Nothobranchius furzeri: one gene and its partners. The protein of the gene in region 1 interacts with the protein of each later gene in a pairwise test. Links are inferred from orthologs where the notes say so. Each region holds a gene or a part of one and is shown in the gene's direction. Other genes may lie near its edges.

Region 1 (8,048 bases):
TTTATTCCTTCATTGTGACCTTTAGGTGCAGTTGCAGTTGTTGACGGCAATCGTCAAGCTGTTCCTGAAAAAGCCTACAGAGACGCAGGAGCTGGTGCAGCAGGTTCTGAGCCTCGCCACACAGGTGGGTGGGGGGGACAAATCTTCTGCTCATAAATGGTTTTATCCGTACACACTAAGCTGTCTGATCTGTCCTTTACACTTTTATTCATTTATTTTGTCATTTGTCTTGATCTGACACAGATAGCCATGACGTCTGTTAGGATTTGAGTTGAAAAGATGGGAGATGGATTTGTTTCTTTTTCTAGTTGATGGATAAAACTGTTTGGTGCTTCAACAAAGTTGGCAGAAAGCTGAAATTTGAGTGAAATCTTCCATCATCGCTCACGAGGACTCTTCTACTCGGACATTTTTTTTTAACCGGCTTTTAAGCTCACTTTCCTTTTGCTGAAACTCCATGAAATGTGTGAATGTTACTTATTTTTTTGTTAACAAAAGTGTGCAGTAGCACGTAGCTTCATGCATTCTCCAAATCCCAGCGCCCCAGTGTCTCAATTCTACACTAAAAAGTCTCGACATCAAGTTTTTATTTAACAGTTCACTGTTAAACGCCTTCCTGCAGGATTCTGATAACCCAGACCTGAGGGACAGAGGCTACATCTACTGGCGTCTGCTGTCCACGGATCCTGTGGCTGCCAAGGAGGTGGTTCTGGCTGAGAAGCCTCTGATCTCCGAGGAGACAGATCTGATTGAGCCTACTCTGCTGGAGGAGCTCATCTGCCACATTGGTACTCTGGCCTCCGTTTACCACAAACCCCCCAGTGCCTTTGTTGAGGGCAGCCGGGGTGTTCAGCACAAGAGGCTCCCGGGCAGTACTGGATTGTGAGTCATACGTGTTTTTATTTTAATTTATTTTTCTTTTCCAGTGCAGGCAGAAAGTTGTGTTTACATATGTGGACTTGTCTGTTTGACTTTGTTTCATTTAAACCTTCTGTGTAGCTGTTCTAGGTGGCTGGATAGTTGTGTAAATGGCTAATCAAATCAAAATGATTGTGCAGTTTGTAAATGTGTGTGTTTTATGAATTAATTTCATTTTTTTTTCCTCATTTCTTCCAGAGGGGAGAGTTTGGAGAGCCCAGACACTGGCTCTGCTGCTGGGGGCTCTGATGCTCCACCTGCTGTGATCCCATCCCAGGGAGACCTCCTCGGTGACCTTCTCAATCTTGATCTGACGCCTCCTGCCACCACTGGGCCACCGCCGCCGCCCACCTCTGGCATGCAGCTGGGAGCCATGGACCTCCTCGGAGGAGGACTGGACAGCCTGGTGTGTTTTCTACACACATCAGTTTGATTAACTCTTCTACCTAAAGCAGCTTTTTAACCAAATAACTGTTATTTATTTTTAATTGACATTCTTTATTTTTTCTTGAACTTGCGTGTTCTTTCTTTGTTTAATATGCTGCTCCTGCAGATGGGGGAGGAGTCTGAGCCGGTAACTACAAGGAGGGATGATCTTTACCAGTCATTTAAGCCCATCCTCTAAATATTCATCTAAAAGAGCCCAGACAGTGCTTTTGTAACAGTGGAGTTATTTTGGGATTCTACTAGAATAGCATCAAGCAAAAGCAGCACGTTTGCCGTTCCCCCCCCCCCCCCCCTTGTCACCTCGTCTCTTAAAAGCTCTTTTTAACAGCCCGGTCTGCTCTAATTGGTCAGTCCACCCAGCCAAAGAGTGTTGTTGATGTAACAATTAAAAGTGGGTCAGAGCCGCCTACAAGCTGTGTACACTCAGAGAATGTTAACAGGGTGGGACGCTACTCTACTCTCGTCGCGTCACTGAAATCACCATGAAAACGGCAGCTGATGAGTCTGTTAGGACCATCTCACTATTTCAGTCCTCCTTTTCCTGTTCCAAGTCTTCTAGATACGATCAGGCGGGGAGGTGATGTGTAAAGGGTGCTATGGAGGTGTTTTGTTTATGCCCTCATATGTAACCCGTTACAAATAACAGTTGTCATTGTTTTTGGTCTTTTATGGTTATCTACTGATAGAACTCGCATAAATTAACATCTTTGAAATACATTTTCGTTATTGTCATTAAATGTTCCAGCTTTTTCCTAATGATCACCGTCTGGTGAAGGGTCAAAACTCCTGACTCTCTTGGGAGTTGTTTTATGTCTCGATGACAATTTTATTTCTGGCACAAATTTAAAAAGTCAGATTATTGGTCATTGGGCCTGAACAATCTTCGTTTTTCAATAGAAACTGCGATTCATTAATTTTTTTAAACGATGTGATCTTGTAATCGTCAAAACAGGTATTTATTTCATAAAAAATTTTTTTGCAGCGATCGTGACTGATCCTGACCTTTTATATAAATATTTTACACATCTAGGGTTATCTCAAGGTTTTAGAAGAGCTACAGCAACAGCAGCGAGCGGCTGTGGAGGTTACGGGACCCTGATGCTTGAGTTTGCAGCGGGATATAGTTTTATTTATTTTTAATTGGTAATTTTCTTTTTCTGTGGCACTTCTACTGTATATATTGGTCATAGCTGTGGTTATCTGTCGCCGTTGCTCATTTAGTGGCCGAGTCTCATTTGCCCGCTTCCTGCAACAGGGGAAAGGGAATTACCAAGAAACTATCTTTGTGGAGTTGAGGTAAATATGGTGTTAGCGCAGCGCTTTTTGTGCTTATTTGAGTAATAACTTTTCATGTGGTGATGGTGTGATGGCATTTCCTGTCATGTTTGTAAATATTACTGTACGTTGTGATTATTGCGTGGAAGTGAATCAATCTGATGAATTTTCACAAAATCATTCAGCCTTACTTGTCGTTACGTTGACGAACTCAAAGCGTCTGTTAAGTGGTGCCTATAAAAACGTGTTCTAAAGACCAGGAGAACGCAACTCCTACAGATTCTCGTAGAGTCTTGCACTCGCACAAGCCCGTGTGATACGATCAGCACAGCGTGGGCTCTTTATTCACTTACCCGTAGTTTCCATACACTATCATCTCATATTGTCGTGACATTTATCATGTTAAGTCTCACTCCATCTCTGTTGTCTTTGGATCGTTCATCTTCTGATCAGCTGCCCATTCCCCTGCGCTCGGACACTCGGTCACCTCAGGTTCCACATCAGTCCTCATCGTCCCCAGATTACAGCCCCACTGAGGTTGGTCCTGGAGGAGCACGCTGGACCAGTAAAGGCCAGCATCAGCCTAGAGCTCAACACCACTTGTCCCTCTGCTGTCCCATGTCCTCTCGGTAGCTTTGTGTTGCTCTGCTTGTTTTCCTGCTCCATCTAGTTAGGGTTCCAGTGTTCCGTCTCTCTTTAGGTTTGATCTTTGTTTTTAGTCTTTAAAACGCTAAAGACAAAGTTATCGAGCTGCATTTGAATGAAACCAATCACTTGGGTTTGTCTGCAGACATCTCCCTACTGTTATTTGTTACAGACCACCCCTCCTCTCATCCTCCTCCACCCCCTCAGAAGATCCTGTAGTTTTAACATCAACTTTTATTCATTTATGATGTTTTGTTCACAATGAGTTTTTCTTTTCCTTTCTCCTCGTGTTCAGCTTGGCGGAGACCTTGGAGGAAGCTCTGCTGTAAGTCGTTTTCTAGTTTTCTTAGGCCTTCATCGCTAATGCAATGCACCATTTCACGTGTTCTCTGTGACCCACAGATGGGAGCTGGTTTTGGTGCTGCTCCAGCCGCATCGCCAGCCTCGTTCAGCGCTCCTGTTAGCGGCGGCCTGGATGACCTGTTTGATCTTGGAGGTGGAGTTGGGATGCCCATGGGAGCCTACAACCCCCCCAAAACGGTGAGTCCATGTGCTGGAATGATTCCCTAAAGGAGTTCATCATGGGTGGCTTTTAAAACCAGCCTCTCTGTTTAGGTTTGGCTCCCAGCCATGAAGGGAAAGGGCCTGGAAATATCCGGCACTTTTGCCCGCCGGGCCGGAATCATCCAAATGGAGATGACCCTGATCAACAAAGCGATGAGCGTCATGACTGATTTTGCCATCCAGTTCAACAGAAACAGGTAGGAAGAGCTTTTATCTTACAGCTATTTTCATTTAAAGGGATACTTTGCAACTTGTTCATATTTTTAAATAATTTTCTTGAGCTAAAATGTGCTAAAATGACCCTTTAATGAAGTGTCACTCAGACCCCCACAGCCCTCTGGCCAGAATACCTCATTTGCAACTTTGGAGTGTCGGTCCGGTCTAGTGGACTTGGAAATGGAATAAAATGAGCTGACATATCTGGCACTACAGTCTGCTTCCAGCACGTTTCCTGCATGTTTTAGATCATGAGCACAGCTGATTTGTTTAATTTAGTGATGAATCACTCCTGTAGACACTAATGAGGGCTGGGAGACGTTTCAGCTGTTGGATTAAAGGGATATTATGGAAGTTTGACAGCCCAAACATGTATAGAAATAATACATTTCTTCTACATGCATTCTACTGCAATGCCCTGGTCCTGTAGAATGAGCCCTGGCATTTTTACTGTGATTGCCTGTTTTTCTGTAAGATCACAGAAAAAGAGAGATGCTCGGGTCGAGCAGGCTGCTTCATGCGCGTTCACGCTCAGGCATCGCCCGTAGCATTTGCTATCAGTAGCTTTAGCAGCAGAGAGTGAGGTAGTGCCACTTTGTCGCTGTTCCTAATGCCTAGTGACAAAGCTAGCTACATTTCTGAGGACGCTTAGCTACTTTCTGTAGAACTTTCTTCTAGATATTTCCTGCAAATTAGCAACAAAATAGCCATTTTCGTTTCGAACCGTTCTTTGGTTTGACGTTGTTTCAGGTGTCGTCAAGGATATAAAAGTTACAGAGAGTGTCAATGCTACTAGAGTGTAGCTCACCTTGTAAGATGTCTGACTCCCATGCAGAAGACCTGGGTCCGATTCTGGATGTGAACATAATTTATTTGGAGTTTCTTTTTTACATTAATGGTATATTTTTTTCCGTAAGATGCCCAAATTTTTATTTGAGACTCGCCGAACGGCATTGAATTCACAGATAAAAAAGATGTGGGTTCAACTTTCGTTTTGGAACAACTTTCCAAGCAAGGGAAGGGAATGATCTGAGCATGCAGGAGGACTGACCCATCATAAACCTTTGTCGGCTGTGCTGAAGAGAAAGGTACAGAACCAAATTATTTAAGCATGAAATTTTAGAGAGAAAGATCATAAATGTTAAGTGCTCGCCTCGCAATCGGAAGGTTGCAGGTTCGAGACCCGCTCAGTCTGTCGCTGTCGTTGTGTCCTTGGGCAAGACACTTAACCCACGTTGCCTGCTGGTGGTGGTCGGAGGGACCGGTGGCGCCAGTGCTCGGCAGCCTCGCCTCTGTCAGTGCGCCCCAGGGCAGCTGTGGCTACATTGTAGCTCATCCCCACCAGTGTGTGAATGTGTGTGTGAATGGGTGAATGACTGATTGTGTTGTAAAGCGCCTTGGGGGGTTCCAGGACTCTAGAAGGCGCTATATCAAATACAGGCCATTTACCATTTTACCATTTAATTAGCTGCGCGTTCTCCTGTCCCCCCCCCCCCCCCCCCCCCCACACACACACACACAGGACTGTCTCAGCTGTCATTTTTGTCAAGGAGTGTGCACGTACAGCATGCACGCCTCGTGCACGAGCCTACTATTGAAGCTGCCGTTACGCTTTTGGCCTGAGGGGGCAATCACGAGCATAAAAATTCAAAAGTCTGTAAAGTCCCTTTAAGGTGTAAAAATGTTGAACGCACAGCAAGGAGATGAGATTTGCTTTTGGTTCTACAAACGGGCACTAGGGGGTGCTAAAAGTGCCAACTGTCTAGTCACCATTTGAAAAACAGATTTTTGACCCTTTTATCCACTTTGTGTTTCTCTGCAGCTTTGGCATCGCTCCAGCTGGACCTCTCCAGGTTCTAACTCCTCTGAGCCCAAACCAGACCATTGAGGTGGCCCTTCCCCTGAATACTGTTGGACCCGTTATGAAGATGGATCCACTCAACAACCTGCAGGTGAATTATCCCCTCTGTGCTTGTGCCGCTTCTTGTACAAATCACTTTAGACGTTTTATGTTTAATCAGTTAATTTAATTTTGACTCCATAGTATCGCGACTTGGATAAATTACCGGATGTCGGTCTAAACCGGAGAAATGATGACTGATAGAGATTTGTTACGCAAGAGTGAGACTGTTGAGTCAGTGTCCTGAAAGTCTGCCAATCTGTAATGCACCTTTGCTCTTATACACCCATGCTGTGCTTAAATATGAAAAAGACAGACTGTTTCAAAAGGTTATTTGAAAAAAAAAAAAAAAAAAACAGCTGGTGTCTGTTTGGTTCTGGTCAGGGTGGTTCCTTTTAACTGGGCAGAATGGTGGACGGCTGCAGCTGTGGAGAGAAGATAAGAGTGAGGAGGGATGATGGAGGTTAGGACAGTCATTAGTCGACACATGGCTCCTTTGTCTAACTAGGCCTCAGTGGTGCTGCTAACCTTTCTACTCTGCTGCCTCCTGGCCCTGTTTTGATGGGACCAGCTGTCTGATTTGACAGGTTCCCAAATATGATTTGTTCTGCCGGTTCCTAGGTTTATCTATCACACGGAGCCATTAAGCCCTTTCATATTTGTTTAAAGAAATGTCAGAACAGTTTTTTTCATAGCTCTTCATCTTGGATAATCAAATCAGCAGGTTTAGGGGACACGATTCGGTGCCCTTGGTTGGCTGTTCAGCTGCCATTAATTCTTCTGCAAGGACACAGCAGATAAAATGCATCACAATTGTTCTGTGCTTACGTAAATGTAAACCCAAAACATCTGGATCTGGCTCATCTCAGATTCATCTTGACATGCCCAATAAATGTGCGTTAAACATCCAATGTGACTAATCAGCACATCATCACCAGCTGAACTGAACCAGTTGATCTCAACTCCTCATCATTTTAATTGGTTTGAAGCATCACAATCAGCTTTCTCGTTAAATGCATGACTGTTGCTGCTGATTAGCATTTATGATCTTTCTCTCTAAAATTTCATGCTTAATCACCATTTAATGATTTCCTTGTGGATTAGCCGGGTTAGCCGGAGCAGGTGCAACAGAAGACAGCCTACATTACTTATTCAGTCCTTCTGTTTATTATCTCTAGATTTTGTCATTGTTTTTGTTTTATTTATTTATTTGATCTACTGAATTTTAATATAATGTGCGGGCCTTTTTCAGCAATCAAAATATTCAAATAAAAACACACACTTGAGAACTTGGCTGCATCTAGTGGAGTGTGACATTTAAACATGGAAAAATATTCCAAATGAAGTATCCATTCTTTGCACTTGTATGAGGACCTCTTGGTCAGTGAAGGACACAGCGATGCTTTATTTCAGAGCTTTAATGTCTTGAAAGCTGAATGTCCGTTAGCAGTGCTGCACCTTTTAGCCGCCCAGGTTCACTGAGATACCCTTTTTTACTGGTTTTAAATACAATTGGCCACTCGAAGAAAACATGCAAGCTGAAGAAGGAAATGGTCTTCTACTCCTATCACCTGCATTAGCCGCAGGAACAAAATGGACGAGGGGATGCAAGGATTAGAAAATCCTGACAGATCTACGTCACACTGTAAATTAACATTCATGGACTCACCCACCTTGGCTCATGACGGGGAAGGCTGTTGGTTTAGCATCCAGGAAACCGCAGAGAACGTGTCTGCTAGTAGAAGCTAACTGTTAGCATTAGCAACTCTACCACACAGCAGAACTCCTTCATGCTTGTGTTGGTTAAAACATAGTTTTAAAGTCAGTGGTAGTGTTGCTGTTAGCCAATCAGAGATGAGATGTTCAAAAATCTGGATTAATAATGAGTAAGACTATAAATCCTTCCATTTTCTCCTCCGGCTAACTTCTAGTTCCTGAAACTGAAACACCAGAGCTTTTTTTTCCCCCACAGAGATCGACTCACAAGGCAATCATTTAAGTCGGAGACCATTTCAAATCTATTGACCTAACGAGTGAATGAGAGCTTTACAGCTTCTTGCATGGATGAATTATTTATGAGTCC
Region 2 (8,048 bases), on another chromosome or scaffold:
TGAGCAGAACCTCCCTGAACCGTCTACAGGTGGTTCAGAATGCCTGTGCTCGACTTCTGACCAAGTCCTCCAAACACACCCACATCACCCCGCTTCTCCTCCAGCTTCACTGGCTGCCAGTCAACTTCAGGGTTCATTTTAAGATCCTGGTTCTGGTCTATAGAGCCTGATCAGTGGACTCAGTGGTCTCCTTCAAAAAGCAGCTGAAGACACTTTTTCAAGCTGGCTTTTGTATGACCTTCTTCACCACTCTCTCTTTATTCTGCTCTCCCCACCTATTCCACCTTCCTCAGGATCCACTGATTTCCCTCTTTCCTGTTCACTCTCTCTCTTTCTTAACATTTTTTTAATCACAATTGTCTATTTGTGCTCATTTTAAATATATTTTTAACCATTTTCTAAATGCTTTTTTTATATTTTTACATTTTTTATTTTTGTGAAGCGCCTCGTGATTTTTATCTTGAGAGGCGCTATAGAAATGATATTTTCTTCTTCTTTTTCATGGCCCGTGATGCTTTGTGGGTGACGTCATGAATGGGTGCAGCTCAGGCCAGTGGAGGTGGGGTTGATTGAAACTGACCATTTCATTTCCGGGTACAAAGACAGGCTGATGAAAATAACCCATATTTAAGATAAAATGACATCTCAGTAGTGCCAACGGTAAAACTTTGCCATATACTGTGCTTACCTTTGCTCTCAAAGGTTTAAAATGGCATGATCTGACTACTTTAAAATGTATTTAACAGTTTCACGTATAATTGTGAGTTACTTGCCTATTCCACGCAATGTGTGTGAATATACAGTCTGGCCCCTTTAAAACACCTATGGGTTCATATCAAAAGTAGGAGAGGAAAGCGTAGCTTGTCAATATCAGTTAATGTCCTTTTGCAGACATGTACACTCGGTTGGCCTTCTAGTGGGGTGTTAAGATAAAATACTGGAATGGAGATCTGTTCTGTAAATTATTTTAAAGACCTGCTGAAGTTTAGACATAATTTTTTATTTGTTGGAACATAATTGCTGCAAAGTAATCCATTAAAAGATGCATTTCTCTGATTTATGCCCTGTAATGGCACTGTAGCTGTGTCTTCTTAACTTCCTCCAGCTCAAATTCTGCTGCTGCTTCACTTACTTGTTGACGAGTGAAGGCAGCATCAAAGAGCATCTGGAAACAGACTCTTTGTGTCTTTGTTTGATGCCGTTTTGGTAAAGTTGTTACATCTGCAGATGCTGGTTGCCTTTGAATCAGTTTGAACCAACTAGCAATCATAATTGTGTTTGTCTTTGACTTTGGAGTAGGGATGCCCGTATCGGTATCGGTGCAGATACCGATACGATATCGGTAAAAGTTAACCGATACCAATGCAGTTGCTTGAAAATGGCTTCACTGTAACTTGTCATTTCTGTTCACCTAATATTTCTATTCATATATTTAACTTTTTATCTATCTCACATAGGGTTGTCACGGTATGAAAATTTAACCTCACGGTTATTGTGACCAAAATTATCACGGTTTTCGGTATTATCGCGGTATTTTTTAAACGGTGTTGCATATGTTCAGAAAGCATTGATAGTCCTGTTCTACACAAACTGAAATAGTTCTGAAAAGGTTTAACAGTGTTTATTAAACCTAAAATAACACAAAGCCTTAGCAAAAGTGCAACTTTTCACAAGTAAAGGAACAAATAGCTTATTTTTCTGGAACTTGTTACAGTAGTCAGTGCAGGTTTAAATTATACAAATCCAAACATTCAAAACATAAACAATATGTAAACAAATCAAAGAAACACCACTTGTTTTCTCATATACTTGTTTTCTTCATTATCAAAATGAAAATTAAAACTCCAGTCCACACTTGACTTGAGCACTGTACAAGTCAACCTTAAAAAATATGTATTTAAAATAAATAGCCACTTTAAACAAATTACTAAAATAACTACTACACTATGTAATCAAATCCAAATGTTCAAGTATAAATGGCATTGAATAAGTAAACAAATCCATGACAAGGAACTAATTGTATATTTCTCTTCATCATCAACAAATAAGATGCTTCATCCAGCAACAGGGTGTCCGTGACACGGTTTAAATGCTGGCAGAGGACGCTGCGGCTGCAGTATGTAGTGACTCGTTGCATTCTCCCTCAACCAAAAGTCCTCACGTCATGCATTTCAGCTAAAATGCTAATGTTAACTTACCTTGCACTGGCTGTGGAGACGTGGGTGATCGTCACGCAGATGTGCCATTAGATTCGAAGTGTTGCTGCCTTCTGCAGACACTTGTTTCCTGCACGTTCTGCAAACGGGATAGCCGTCTTCTATTAACTGTCCCTCAGCATTTTTCAGAAATCCCAAATATGCCCATACTTCCGATTTAGTCTTCTTTGAGGGCTGATGGATGTCCTGGGCGCTGCCGTCGCCTCCTTCGGCCATTATTTCAGCTTCAAAGTTTTGGTGCCGTTGCAAATTAAAAAGTGCGTGTGCGCGCAGCGGGAACTTCAGCTGAAGCGACGGTGGCTGGTAAGGGTCATCGCGCCGAAACCGCGGCCACGGTAAACCCACCGAGATAATATAGTTTTTTAAAAACTGGACGGTTATTTTTATTGTCAACTTTTTTACCGGGGTTTACCGCTATACCGGTTACCGTGACAACCCTAATCTCAGTCTTTTCCTGTTGAAAGCAGAGAAGAAAATAAAATCTGTATTCCAAATCATTGCATTTTTTTGTGTGGTAGAAGTATAGATATCAGTAATCGGTATCGGCGAGTATTCAGATCCAAGTATCGTATCGTATCGGTTTGGAAAAAAGTGGTATCGTTGCATCCCTACTTTGGAGCCAATACAATTTAGGATATTGACTGTGTTTACATGCAGCCAGTAACCCGTTCAAAACCCAGTTATTTGCAATAACCTGGTTCGGCAAGGCCATGTAAACACCGGCACGGTTATGCTCATAACTGGGTTTTTAAAAACCGGGCTATTACCCCTGGGGTAACCCTTTTCTAACCTGAATATCAGGTCACGTAAACTCGTATCGGGATAACCCGTTAAAATGTGCACTCTGCGCATGTTCTATTCGCAAAGACTCTTGGTCTTTTGAGTAGATCAGGGGTTGATAACCTTTTCCAATCAAAGAGCCGTTATTACCTGTCTCCCAAGAAAACTCTGGGAGCCTCAGCAGCCGCGGCGTTGTGGGTGGGCCTACCGGGCCTGAGCAAATGCCGATTATTTTTTTTCTTTTAATGCGTCACACATGCCTCCTTTTAAAACATGTTTAAACTGTTCAGAATACAAATCCAGGCTCTGTCTCGCTGGATTGTTGCAATTAAACGTTGTACAGGACGAAACATTACATTAAACACTTGAAAAGGTAAGAAAAGGATCTGATCAATTCTTTTTTCCGCCTCAATTACAGTGATGGAGATAACGGTACAGTGCGCATGGCTCTGGTGTTCGTCTTTGCAACTATCTTCACAAGAAGGCAAAACGGTTAAATGGCAGGGTTAGCATCAATTTGATATTTCCTGTTTTACACCGTTTATTTTGACGGAGAAACCTCCTGCAGATGCGCTGACATTTTAATTATTACGCACATTGCGGAGATAGCTAAATCAATCAAGAAAAGATTACCATCTGAGCATTATACTGGACACTTCACAGTTCAGCGGGCATGTAAGGTGGACAGCGAGCTGAAGATGTGGAGAGGGGCTCGGAGTGCGTTGGTTACAGGCTGCAGAAGAACCAGAGCGCATGCAGGAAGATTCCTCTCACTGAAGCACGTGTTTTCCAAACCCTGTCTCTCACAGAGACTTGTCGCTTAGAAAATGTTCCCTGATTATGAAACTTAGGCTGAATAGCGCTTGTTCCTGTCTCCAATGTGGCGACACATCCATGAGCCTGTCTGAGGCAAAAGTCCAGAATCTCAAATCCTCTCCAGCTCTGAAAGAGCCTATAGAGGCATTTGATTATGCCCAAGCTATGTAATCAGGATATTAGAAGTCCCATGTATACAGGGGCAACTCTCTTTACTTGTGCATGTAAATGGGTTATTCCGAAGTTTTCAGAAACCCAAATACTGACTGCATATAAACGTAATTGTTTTTGTATTTGTTGACTTATGATTCAGAGAGGAATTTTTTAAATGAGAACACTACTTTTCCCACTTTTGTTTATTGTCCTGACTGAAAAAAATCACACATTTTTTTTTTGCATTTGATGCTTTTAAATTAATGCGTATTATAATATGCAAATAAACACAGAATGTTTTTCCCATCTAAGCATATAGCTGTCATAAATATTTAACCCTGTTGCTGGTGTGCTCTCAGAAGCTCCTCTTTTAGGGGAATTGAATTTCTCCCGGCTGCTCTTATTTGCCTCTCCCTAGTAGGACAACCTTTTGTTTTTGTTTGATTTAAGTTTGTGCCATTAGGTTCTGACCTGTATTTTCCCCCTCTGTGACACTGTTTTGCAGACAATGCCAGCCCCGATCAGACTGCGGGAGCTGATCCGGACCATCCGGACAGCACGGACCCAGGCAGAGGAGCGCGAGATGATCCAGAAAGAGTGTGCTGCTATCCGCTCGTCCTTTAGAGAGGAAGACAATACATACCGTTGCAGAAATGTGGCAAAGCTACTCTATATGCACATGTTGGGCTACCCTGCACACTTTGGGCAGGTATGGTTGTGAATGAGGATTATTAAAAGGACTAAAGTCAAATAACTGATGTTGTTGAAGAGTTTATATATTTTTTGTGTTTTAGCTGGAGTGTCTGAAGCTGATTGCATCCCAGAAGTTCACTGACAAACGAATAGGTTATTTGGGCGCTATGCTGCTGTTGGATGAGAGACAGGATGTGCATCTACTAATGACAAATTGCATTAAAAAGTAAGTGGAGGTCATTGTAATGAGTCAGCCACTATAAGTTGTAGCTCAGTCGTGCTTGATGAGACAATTTATCTGTTCATCCTTTAATCTTTCCTGGTCTGCTACTTAACCGTGAACATAACGTTCTGTGTTTTATTTAAGAAACAAGTCATTTTTTGTCTAGATTTGAACATTCGTGGTTGATTCTTTTGTGTACTAATGCTTTTCTGAGACTCATTCGACCATTGTTCTTCCACTCCAGCGATTTGAATCACAGCACACAATACGTCCAAGGCCTGGCTTTGTGCACTTTAGGATGCATGGGATCCTCAGAAATGTGCCGCGATCTGGCAGGAGAAGTAGAAAAGCTGCTCAAAACATCCAACTCGTACTTGAGGAAAAAGGTAAGCATCACTGTCTGAATATAAATACTCTAGATATCTTTGTTTTTACTCGCTGAATACTTGGGATTAGCTTGCAGGTGAACGGAAACGGCTGTAGTTAAACACCAAAAACGTGTTTAGCGTTGAATCAAGCTTTATTTATACATCTGTTGACAGGCAGCATTGTGCGCAGTTCATGTCATCAGGAAGGTCCCAGAACTCATGGAAATGTTCCTCCCAGCCACAAAAAACCTGCTGAGCGAGAAGAACCACGGTAAGTGAAAACGATTTGTCAGGATGCAGTTGTTTCTTTGGGGTGGGGGGTGTGTGGTTGCAGGCGCTTCACACTCTTTCCTGCTACTCGTGGCGTTTTATTGGGAACAGCTGGGGAGCTGATGCTCCTTTTGTTGCATCCTTTGCAGAAGACAGTGGAACTAATGAGCCTGTCATCCACTCTTGGGTTTGTGCTGCACAGCCATGTGGGGCATAAGCCAAACTGAAGGATTTTCATAAATAACATATTCTTTTGCGTCTTTTGCTGATGCTGCAGAGATTTTTTTTTAAGTTTAATGATGCATTCCTGTTTGCGCTCTGTAAATCATTATCTGTCCTTCACTACACACTGTGCATAAATGGAAGACAGGAATAGAGTGGCTCTAAAATGAGCTTTTATATCAGGCACTGCCAAAAATAGCTATAAACTTGCAGATGCAAGCATTGCAAACATTTTTTACCCACAATGTGACAAAATCTCACTTTTACCTACATCGTAGAATTTCTTCTTTGATTTTTGTTACAATTAGGGAATTTTAAACTTTAAATATCTGTGTGCAGTTTTTCTGCACTTTAACTATTAAAGAGAAGTTCTTGGCAGAAATTGTTCACTAAAGGAGATGGCCCCGGTAATCACACTGTTTTCTTTGAAACACTTAATCGTCTTTTATTTGTGTAGAAGCATTGATTTAATAGCCTTGCAGGATATCCTATATATGTGAATAAATAGTCTGGCCATGACACCATATGAAAGTTCAGTTTAGGGGCAGAATCTACGGTTGTCTTTCAAACAGTCTCTGCACGCTATTGGACAATGAACAAAGTGACGTACTCCCCACCACAGATGCTAGTCAACGTGGCAGTCCACCATACACCATCAAATAAAATGCAAAAACATCCTTTTTCTGAATAAAGGACTTAAGTACCTCCATCTGCTCTTGACTCAGTGAAAAGCACAAGTCTAAATGGTCCAAAGGTGATACCAAAGCCATTTTAAACGAGCCGTCGCATCATGCCGCCCACCAAACCGACAGAATGCTGTGATTGGCCAGCCAGCAGACTGCTGAGGCATCTATGGAGCATGGCTACTGTACGTCTAGATTTCTAGGCTATAGATTTAATGATTTTTGCCAAGTTGCGGCTGAGTCAATGACATTTTCTGCTTTAATAGTTTGACTTTTGTTTTTTGTTCACTCTTACTTGTACCCCATCAAATCAGACCGTCTAAACATAAAGGCTGTGTCCAAATTCAAGAGCTCCATCCTTCCGAGATTGCATTTAACGTCACAGCAACGCAACAAGGTTGTTAAAATTTGAAGGATACTCGACACGTGTCCTCAAATGCATTCTCATTGTCCCCAAATTTGAAAGACGGGTCTGGTGCATCCTCACTGCCAAAGGCTGTCCCAGGATTCATAGCAAGCAAAACGGGAGATTTCTGATCTCATAGTAATGGCGGACAAAATGGGAGAGAATTGCACTAATACATTTAAATATGGTAATTAAAAATGAACTCGTGTTTTTGTTTAGCTTTTTTATTTGTGTAAATATATATTTTGTCAAAAATTATAAAATTCCTCAGAAACGAGCTCGTGTGGTAGGTCTCGTATTCATGTGTTGCTGCTAGGTTTAGTTTTACCGCTGTCGTGGTTTCTATACAACAAGACATAAACCGTTATATGGGATATAATAAATACGAAAGCTTGATTGCCCAGACTGTGTTTAGTCATACCTGAAATGACATAACCCCACTGTTCAACAGTAATAGTCGTCCCTGTGAAACATGGTAACTGCCAATTAGATTAAAGCTGCTTTCCTGAGTTTTCCTCTTTCAGAAATTATGTATGATTTGTCAGAAATCCGTAAAAGTGATTATCTTATCATGTTCTGTGATATAATATAAGCAATACATCTTTTTCTTTTTTTTTTTTGCTAAGCGCGCCCCCTGCCCGGTAGACCTCCGTGCAATAGGAAACTGAGCGCCAACCAGAACTAACCACCAGCATTAGACTGCCACTTAGACACCTGAAATTTAAGGAATACCTCGGCTGATGCAGAGTTTATGAACTTTTCACGGACAAGAAAGTCTCTAAAATATAAATATATGAAAACACAACATGACATGAGAATAATACTCGTAAATCAACGTGTTTTAGCTCTGTTTGTCGGCTACAGAAGCACATTTATAAACAGAAACGTGAAGTCGCCATCTTAAAAAAAACAGAACAGCGTTTTTGTGTTATACGCTTGTCAGCCACTAGATGGTGCCATTGGATAAGAGAAATACTCCAGAAGAAAGCAAGGCTTTGTGTCAAAGATGATTTTTTTAATGTTATTTTTATAATTTGTTAACAACTGTGTGCTCTCATCAGCACATTTCACTTTTGTCCCTTATATCAGACTATTAATCTGACACTGAGATCAGGTCACAGGGAGGGGATTAAAATAATCTTAATCTGATTGCATGCATGTGTTGTGGATTTATTGGCCTCTGTGTTTAATCAAATATATGCTAAAATGCCACATTTG
Region 3 (7,365 bases), on another chromosome or scaffold:
ACTCCCCCACTTGTCCAGATTTAGGCTAACATCAGATTTTAACCATAGGCCCTATCAAATAAAAATGTTTTAAGCCTATTCTTAAAAGTAGACAAAGTGTCTGCCTCACGGACTAAAGCTGGGAGCTGGTTCCACAGGAGAGGAGCCTGATAACTAAAAGATCTGCCTCCCATCCTAATTTTAGATATTCTTGGAACCACCAGTAGACCTGCAGTCTGAGAGCGAAGTGCTCGGTTAGGAACATATGGAACAATCAGATTCCTAATGTATGATGGAGCTTGATTATTAAGAGCTTTATATGTGAGAAGAAGGATCTTAAAATCTATTCTGAATTTAACAGGTAGCCAATGTAGGGAAGCTAAGACAGGAGAGATATGATCTCTCTTTTTAATTCTCATCAGAACTCTAGCTGCATCATTTTGGACAAGCTGAAGACTTTTAACTACATTCTGTGGACTTCCTGAGAGTAATGAATTACAGTAATCCAGTCTTGATGTAATAAATGCATGGACTAGTTTTTCAGCATCACTCCTGGAAAGTATGCTTCTAATCTTAGCAATATTCCGAAGGTGGAAAAAAGAAATCCTACAAACTTGTGAAACCTGGGATTTGAATGACATGTCCTGGTCAAAGATAACACCAAGGTTCCTTGCTTTGTTCGCGGAGATTAATGTAATGCCATTCAGGTCAGGTGATTGGCTAAGCAATTTCCTTTTCTGGATTTCGGGTCCAAAGATGAGAACTTCCATCTTGTCTTGATTTAAAAGCAAAAAGTTTAGAGTCATCCAATTTTTTATGTCCTCAAGACAAGCCTGTAATCTACCCAACCGATTAGGTTCATCAGGGTTAATGGATAAATATAAGTGAGTATCGTCAGCATAACAGTGGAAGTTTATCCCATGCTGTCTAATGATTTTACCAATTGGGAGCATATATATAGTAAAAAGAATTGGTCCAAGCACTGAACCCTGTGGTACTCCCCAAGTAACCCTGGAGTATGAAGACGATTTGTCATGTACGTTTACTAAATGAAATCTGTCAGACAGGTAGGATTTAAACCAGCCTAACGCTGTTTCTTTGATCCCTACAACATGTTCAAGTCTTTCTACAAGAACATTGTGATCAACTGTGTCAAAGGCAGCACTGAGATCTAACAAGACTAGAACAGACACAAGATTCTTATCTGAGGCCATGAGAATATCATTTGTAACTCTCACTAATGCAGTTTCAGTGCTGTGATACTCTCTGAAACCAGACTGAAATTCCTCAAACAGAGCATTAGTGTTTAAATGCTGACATACTTGGATGGCCACTATTTTCTCCAGGACTTTGGATAAAAATGGAAGGTTAGATATTGGTCTATAATTCATTGGGTCATCTGGATCCAGAGAAGGCTTCTTAAGTGAAGGTTTGATTACAGCAACCTTAAAATCTTGTGGTACATATCCATTTACTAAGGATAGATTGATTGTATCTAGAATGGGGGCAGTAACCAAAGGAAATGCATCTTTAAATAATTTGGTTGGGATTGGATCCAAAATGCAAGTTGAAGGTTTAGATGAAGCTAATATTTTTGATAACTCTGAAAGCTCAACTGGATCAAAACAGTTCAAGCACAGATGAGGTTCTACAGTCACCTCTGAAGCTGCCTCACTGAGGAAGAAGAAATCGCATTAGGGAGGATGCTAAAGATTTTGTTTCTAATAGAATTAATTTTACTTGTAAAAAATCCCATGAAGTCATTGCTGCTGAGGGCTAAGGGAATAGATGGCTCAGAGCTATGATTCTGTGTAAGTTTAGCAACTGTACTGAAAAGAAATTTAGGATTATGCTTATTCTCCTCAATTAATGCTGAAAAATAAGCAGTTCTAGTTTGTTGAAGCTTATTTCTATAAAGCACAAGACTATTTTTCCAGGGTAGGTAGGCCTCCTCATGGTACGTAGAGCGCCATGTTCTCTCCAATTTCCTAGAGTTTTGTTTTAAGGCTCGTAAATGAGAGTTAAACCAGGGAGCCAACTTCCTGTCCCTAATTACCTTCTTTTTTAAAGGGGCAACATCATCTAATGCCACACGTAAAGAGGAATTAACATGATGAACTAAGGCATCAATTTGTGAGGGGCTAGAACTGAAAATATTGCCCTCTGCTACGTTCCTCTGAGATGCTGAGGACAGTAAAGATGGAACAGTTGATTTAAAAGATGCAACAGCGTTGTCAGATAGAGACCGACTATAGTGAAATTTACTTTCATGTCTCGAGAACTCAGTTATAAAAAACTCAAAGGTTATCAGAAAGTGGTCCGAGAGGACTGGATTATGTGGAAAGATTGTTATTTCCTCACACTCTATGCCATAAGTCAGCACAAGGTCCAATGTATGATGGCAGGAGTGGGTGGAGCTATGTATTCTTTGAGTAAAACCAATTGAGTCTAAGATATTACTAAAGGCTACATTGAGGCAATCATTTTCGATGTCCACATGAATGTTGAAATCCCCCACTACAATGACCTTATCAGTATTTAGCACCAAATCAGATAAAAAAATCAGAGATCTGATCCAAAAACTCTGAGTAAGGGCCTGGTGGACGATTTAAAACTACAAACAAGAGTGGTTTTACAGTTTTGCAATCTGGATATATTTTATATGTTACAAATGAGACTATAAATGACAGGAAAACAAAACAAATGTCTTTTACTTGTCCCTTTTAGGTAAGCACAATGGGACTGTCCAGGGAAGAGTGTACTTCCGCTGCCCCCCAGGTCACGGTGTGTTCGTGAAGCCATCACGGCTCAGCAGAGGACCCCCTTCCACGGACGCAGAACCGCAGACTGTGGTCAGATAGACCCAAAGAAGAACTGGTTTTCTGATCTAATTTCTGACCACTTGAATCTTTGAGCTGATTGTTTCTGTTGGTTTGGTCGCTTTGCTGATGCTTATTTTACTTGTGCTTTTAATCGAAGTATTTTGTAGTTGATGTTCACTGAAAAAAATCCCTATGCACATATCTGAGTTTCCTGTGTGGTTGTATTTTTCTAAACTTTTGACTGGGAATGAAATTTCATTGACATTTTCTTACATTGGTTCTGAAGTACATATAGTATTTTTGTAGAACCGTTCATCCCTCCCTCTCTCTCTGAGGCCTGTAATGAAGTGATCTGGGGTTTGAGGAACAAGAATGTACTACTGTTAATAAACATTGATATATATGTACGTCAGTATGATATATCAGGGTTAACCAAAGAGTTACAGTTCCATATCTGCTGTTACGACTGCTATTTTTTAATACACATAAATGGAAATTTTCACTGTAAATTGATGCATCCTAGTAGAACTTAGTGCCATATCTCCAGAGGTAATGCCACATAACCCATAATCAGGACAAACCAGCCAATCCTGAGGGCTGTTTTAGGTGTTTGTAGTGTTATGTTATGTTGATGTACCCGTTCAGCCTAGATGGGAAACGATTGCGGTGGAAAGGGTTCTTGAAGAGGACTGTTTTCTGTAGTAGGCTGATGAAAACTGGACAATGATGTGTCGTTCCTCAAATCAGTTGAAGAAAATTTTATCTGTTTTATTTGCATTTAAAGAGGCACATAGACCCCATACTGTACAGTGAGTGTGTAACTGTCTGAAACATGTGGATCATGAAGCTCAGTGTATTCAGAGCACTATCCTGCCTTGCTGTTGGACTGATAATCAGATATGGTTATGTTAAGATAACGCTGCAGAGCTTCTGAAGTGGTTTTCTATGGAAAATTCTTGAACAATAAACACTTCATCTATTGTAGGTAGCACTTTGAGTGACCTTAGTTTGGAGAAGTTAATTTGTACAACTCCAAGCTGTATTCAGATGCCAGTATTCCTTTTTGGACTTAACCCAGCTCAAGCTAGATGTTCCATCATGAATTCGGTGAGAATGTTTGTTTTATCCAAACTTATGTTGCTATCTACAACAGGTAAGACCTCTATCCAAAAACCCACTTCAAACGATCCAAAATGTTTTAAGTGGAAGTTGTTTAAATTAAAAGATACCGTTTGGCACGTAAGATTTGATTAATAATTTAGAGACTGGGCCTGGGAGGGACGAGAGGGAACGGCGCCTCTAACTCAAACAATGGTTGCTGGAGAAGACAATAACTTCCGTAACTTGTGTTCAGAGGAGAATGAGCTCCATTCTTAGTAATTCCTCTCCTGCAGATGTGTCTAGGCTGTCCCAGTCAGGATTGAGCCATGGCTGCTAAAAATGTTACAAGGCTGACTGACTTTAGTGATGTAGTGGTTGTAAAATACTGAATAAAATGTTGAGCTGCTTGACTGGTTTTATTTTTACTCTCACATGTAGCTTTATGACCTGCTAGTTTACAAGTGGATCTCCAAAACCGTCTCCCAAGTGTATCGTGAGTAAAACTCGTCAGCCATTCACCAACATCACCATCACTAGTCAACAGATAGCAGACTAGCTGTATGGCTAACGGAGAAGAAGAAACTGATTTGGTCTCAGGGATTACTTCAGTTCTGTTATCAAGACGGACTTTTTCAGTGAAGCTGATCGTTTTTACGAGAGTCCGTCCAACCCTGTCGCTAGTTTGTATTTCAGCCAGAGGCGACCCAGCCATGACCTCCATCAGAATCAGAATACTTTAATAATCCCAAAGGAAATTTTATCTAGAAGAGTAGTTGCTCCAGACAATAGGATAAAGATGGGAAATATTAAAATGGCCAAAGAAAAGGACTTACTGATGGAACTGAAAAGCTTTATGACAGAGTAGTTGAAGTCTTCCTGCGTGGAGAGGAGGATGGTTTGTGTCTATAAATAATCATCAACTTTGTTGAGAGTTTTGATTTGATTTACACGTTAAACCAAATTAATAAATACATTTTTAGCTGCTGATCATGAACTGCAGCCAGTAGCGGTGATGTTGCAGCTGTAATGTTTTAAGATTTTAAAAGGTCTTAACGGGGTTTGTTATTGTCACAATGGTATTCCCTCTCAATACACAAATTATCCTTCTTAATACTTAATGACTGAACAAACATCCATGCGTAATCTTACGCAGCATCCTGGCACTCCCCCCCCCCCCCCCCAGTCGTGGAAACCTGAAGAAAGTATTTCAATAGACTTCTCTCTTTGTTATTAGAATAAAACACCATTAGTGACGCCGTCATGGCTGCCTGTGACTTACCCCGGGTTTCCACGGGAGCCGTCAGCAGCACGTTACTGCAGCAGCACGTCTTGCTCGCGTAAGCTGCTGCTTGGCCCTTCCCACGAGACATGAAGCAGCAGGGGAGCAGCAGTCACCGACCGAGCACGAAGTCACACGAGTGACTTCGTCAGTAAACACAACAACAAGCAGGAGAAAATTACAACATGGTTTGTGTTTTATGTTCTGTCTGTTTTATAATCGCCAATACAGACCTGAAAAACAAAGGAGACCGCTAGCTAGGTGATAACTTCTCACGGGGACGCACAGTTAGTAACCTTTTTTAAAAGTAAAGCAACCGGAAGGCAGTACGTTCTTTATTCTGAAAATCTCGGTAGCTTCTCTCCATTTCCGCATCCGATTTCCTGTCTTTCCTTCCCCAAAAATGTCGAACTTGACCCGTTTCAGAGGCGTCGCGCGTAGAAAATAGAACCGGCGCGTGAAGGCCGCAACATGCTGCTCCTGAGACGCAGCCGACTCGCGCTGCTGACGGCTGCCGACGGCTCCAGTGGAAAAGGTTCTGTTGACCACAGCGGTTCCTATCAGCAGCTATGACGTGCTGCTGCAGTAACGTGCTGCTGACGGCTCCTGTGGAAAGCCGGGGTTAGGGTTACATGGCCTAGCACCCCTGTATCTGTCAGAACTCCTTACACCACATGTACCGGTGCGTTCCCTAAGACCAGCTGACTGACTACTGTCCTGCACCCCCAAAATGATCTATAAGGTGTTATTCAATTCAAATTCAAAGATACTTTTTTAATCTCAGAGGGAAATTAGAGTTTCAGTACACACAATTCTGAGGTCAGACATACATACATAGACACATGACAAGAATTGGTGACTGTGGTCATTCGCAACCCGAGTCGCGCTGCTGTTATAGATCAAGAGGGTTTATATGAGGATAGAGTCAGGGGGAGGGGAAGAAAAGTCACTTCAGAGTTACCCTCAACAGGGAGGGTAGCTTTGCTATGCAAAAAACCTCAGACAGATATGCAACAAACTTCAGACATTACACAACATAAGTGTCCACTAGGTGGGGAGGTAGGGTTGGGACTCTCCTCACTTCAGTGCGTGCAGCCGCATGGGGCAGCGCTCATCACCTCCGTTTGGACAGGCAGAGGCGGAGCTGGCCTAAATGGCGCCCTGTGCGAGATCCCCCGTAACCCCCCCCCCCACACACACACACACACACACACAAGAAAAAAAATTACACCTACAACTTTGTTTCAAATTGCGTGGAGTGTATTATATATAACAAAGTTTGCTAACTGAATACAACATCCAGCTCCTGGCCACCTTCTCACCACTTGTCAAAGTTCTACTGAAATAGTGATGATGACAACACCTGCCATCGCCTTCATTCCTGGGAAATATGAAAGTAGTTGGCACCTTGGTAGGTTCTCTTCGAACTAGCTCTGTGCGTATGCTGTCGGTAATTGGTGAGGACCACTTGGCTGGGTCTGAAGAAAGAGGCTCATCATCACCTTCAGTGGGACTCATTGGTTGATCGTTCAGGCTTCTCTATTGACAGAAAACAGAAGCGTAACTCAACACATTGCTATGTGGACCATTTCACATATTCTATTCAAATGCAATATGTGACATTCAAATTTCTCTAATGTTTGCAGGACACACACACACACACTTGTGCAAAACTTACCTGACGTATCTTGTTGGGGAGACGTGGCAGCTGGCTGTCCCTCATCAAGTTCACATATACTGGTAGGTCTCTCTATTGACAGAAAATGGAAGCATAACTCACCACATTGCTATATGGAACAATTGCCATATTCTGTGAAAATACTATTTAAATGTCTATAGCTAAATGTTTGCTGGACATACACACACACGTGTGCAAAACCCACCTAAAGTATCTTCCTGGGGAGATGTGGTGCCAGCAGACTCTCCCTCCTCGAGTTCAAATACTGGCCTATGAGCAGTGGAGGTAGTTGGCTGTTCCTCAGTGGCAGCTGATGTCATCCCAAAATATCTGCGTAGGGCTCCTGATGTTGCATAAAACAAACAATACAATCTTCATGTCACGTCTGTTGCTTTAGCATTTTAATTAACATGTTACAATGAGCATTTACAGTTTTCAGCAGTGGTGGAAAGAATTCTGAAAATCTGTACTCAAGTACAAGTACTGTTACATTGCTAAAATATTAC

The links.
Region 2: the proteins of ap1b1 (region 1) and ap1g1 interact in a two-hybrid assay, tested with the Homo sapiens proteins (2 studies listed by BioGRID, with this or other methods). The link is inferred for Nothobranchius furzeri from reciprocal best matches to the Homo sapiens genes AP1B1 and AP1G1.
Region 3: the proteins of ap1b1 (region 1) and kif13a interact in binary tests that used the Homo sapiens proteins (3 or more experiments, as listed by UniProt). The link is inferred for Nothobranchius furzeri from reciprocal best matches to the Homo sapiens genes AP1B1 and KIF13A.

Annotation. Positions count from the first base shown.
Region 1 is NC_091757.1:46,120,361-46,128,408, forward strand, and holds part of ap1b1 (AP-1 complex subunit beta-1), read left to right. Parts: intron 1-25; coding exon 26-124; intron 125-622; coding exon 623-882; intron 883-1,116; coding exon 1,117-1,324; intron 1,325-1,471; coding exon 1,472-1,492; intron 1,493-3,580; coding exon 3,581-3,610; intron 3,611-3,687; coding exon 3,688-3,825; intron 3,826-3,900; coding exon 3,901-4,046; intron 4,047-5,887; coding exon 5,888-6,017; intron 6,018-8,048. UniProt on the Homo sapiens protein: Subunit of clathrin-associated adaptor protein complex 1 that plays a role in protein sorting in the late-Golgi/trans-Golgi network (TGN) and/or endosomes.
Region 2 is NC_091749.1:59,372,715-59,380,762, reverse strand, and holds part of ap1g1 (AP-1 complex subunit gamma-1), read left to right. Parts: intron 1-4,470; 5' UTR 4,471-4,473; coding exon 4,474-4,674; intron 4,675-4,759; coding exon 4,760-4,884; intron 4,885-5,125; coding exon 5,126-5,267; intron 5,268-5,423; coding exon 5,424-5,520; intron 5,521-8,048. UniProt on the Homo sapiens protein: Subunit of clathrin-associated adaptor protein complex 1 that plays a role in protein sorting in the late-Golgi/trans-Golgi network (TGN) and/or endosomes.
Region 3 is NC_091745.1:82,811,179-82,818,543, forward strand, and holds the end of kif13a (kinesin-like protein KIF13A), read left to right. Parts: intron 1-2,706; coding exon 2,707-2,840; 3' UTR 2,841-4,312; downstream 4,313-7,365. UniProt on the Homo sapiens protein: Plus end-directed microtubule-dependent motor protein involved in intracellular transport and regulating various processes such as mannose-6-phosphate receptor (M6PR) transport to the plasma membrane, endosomal sorting during melanosome biogenesis and cytokinesis.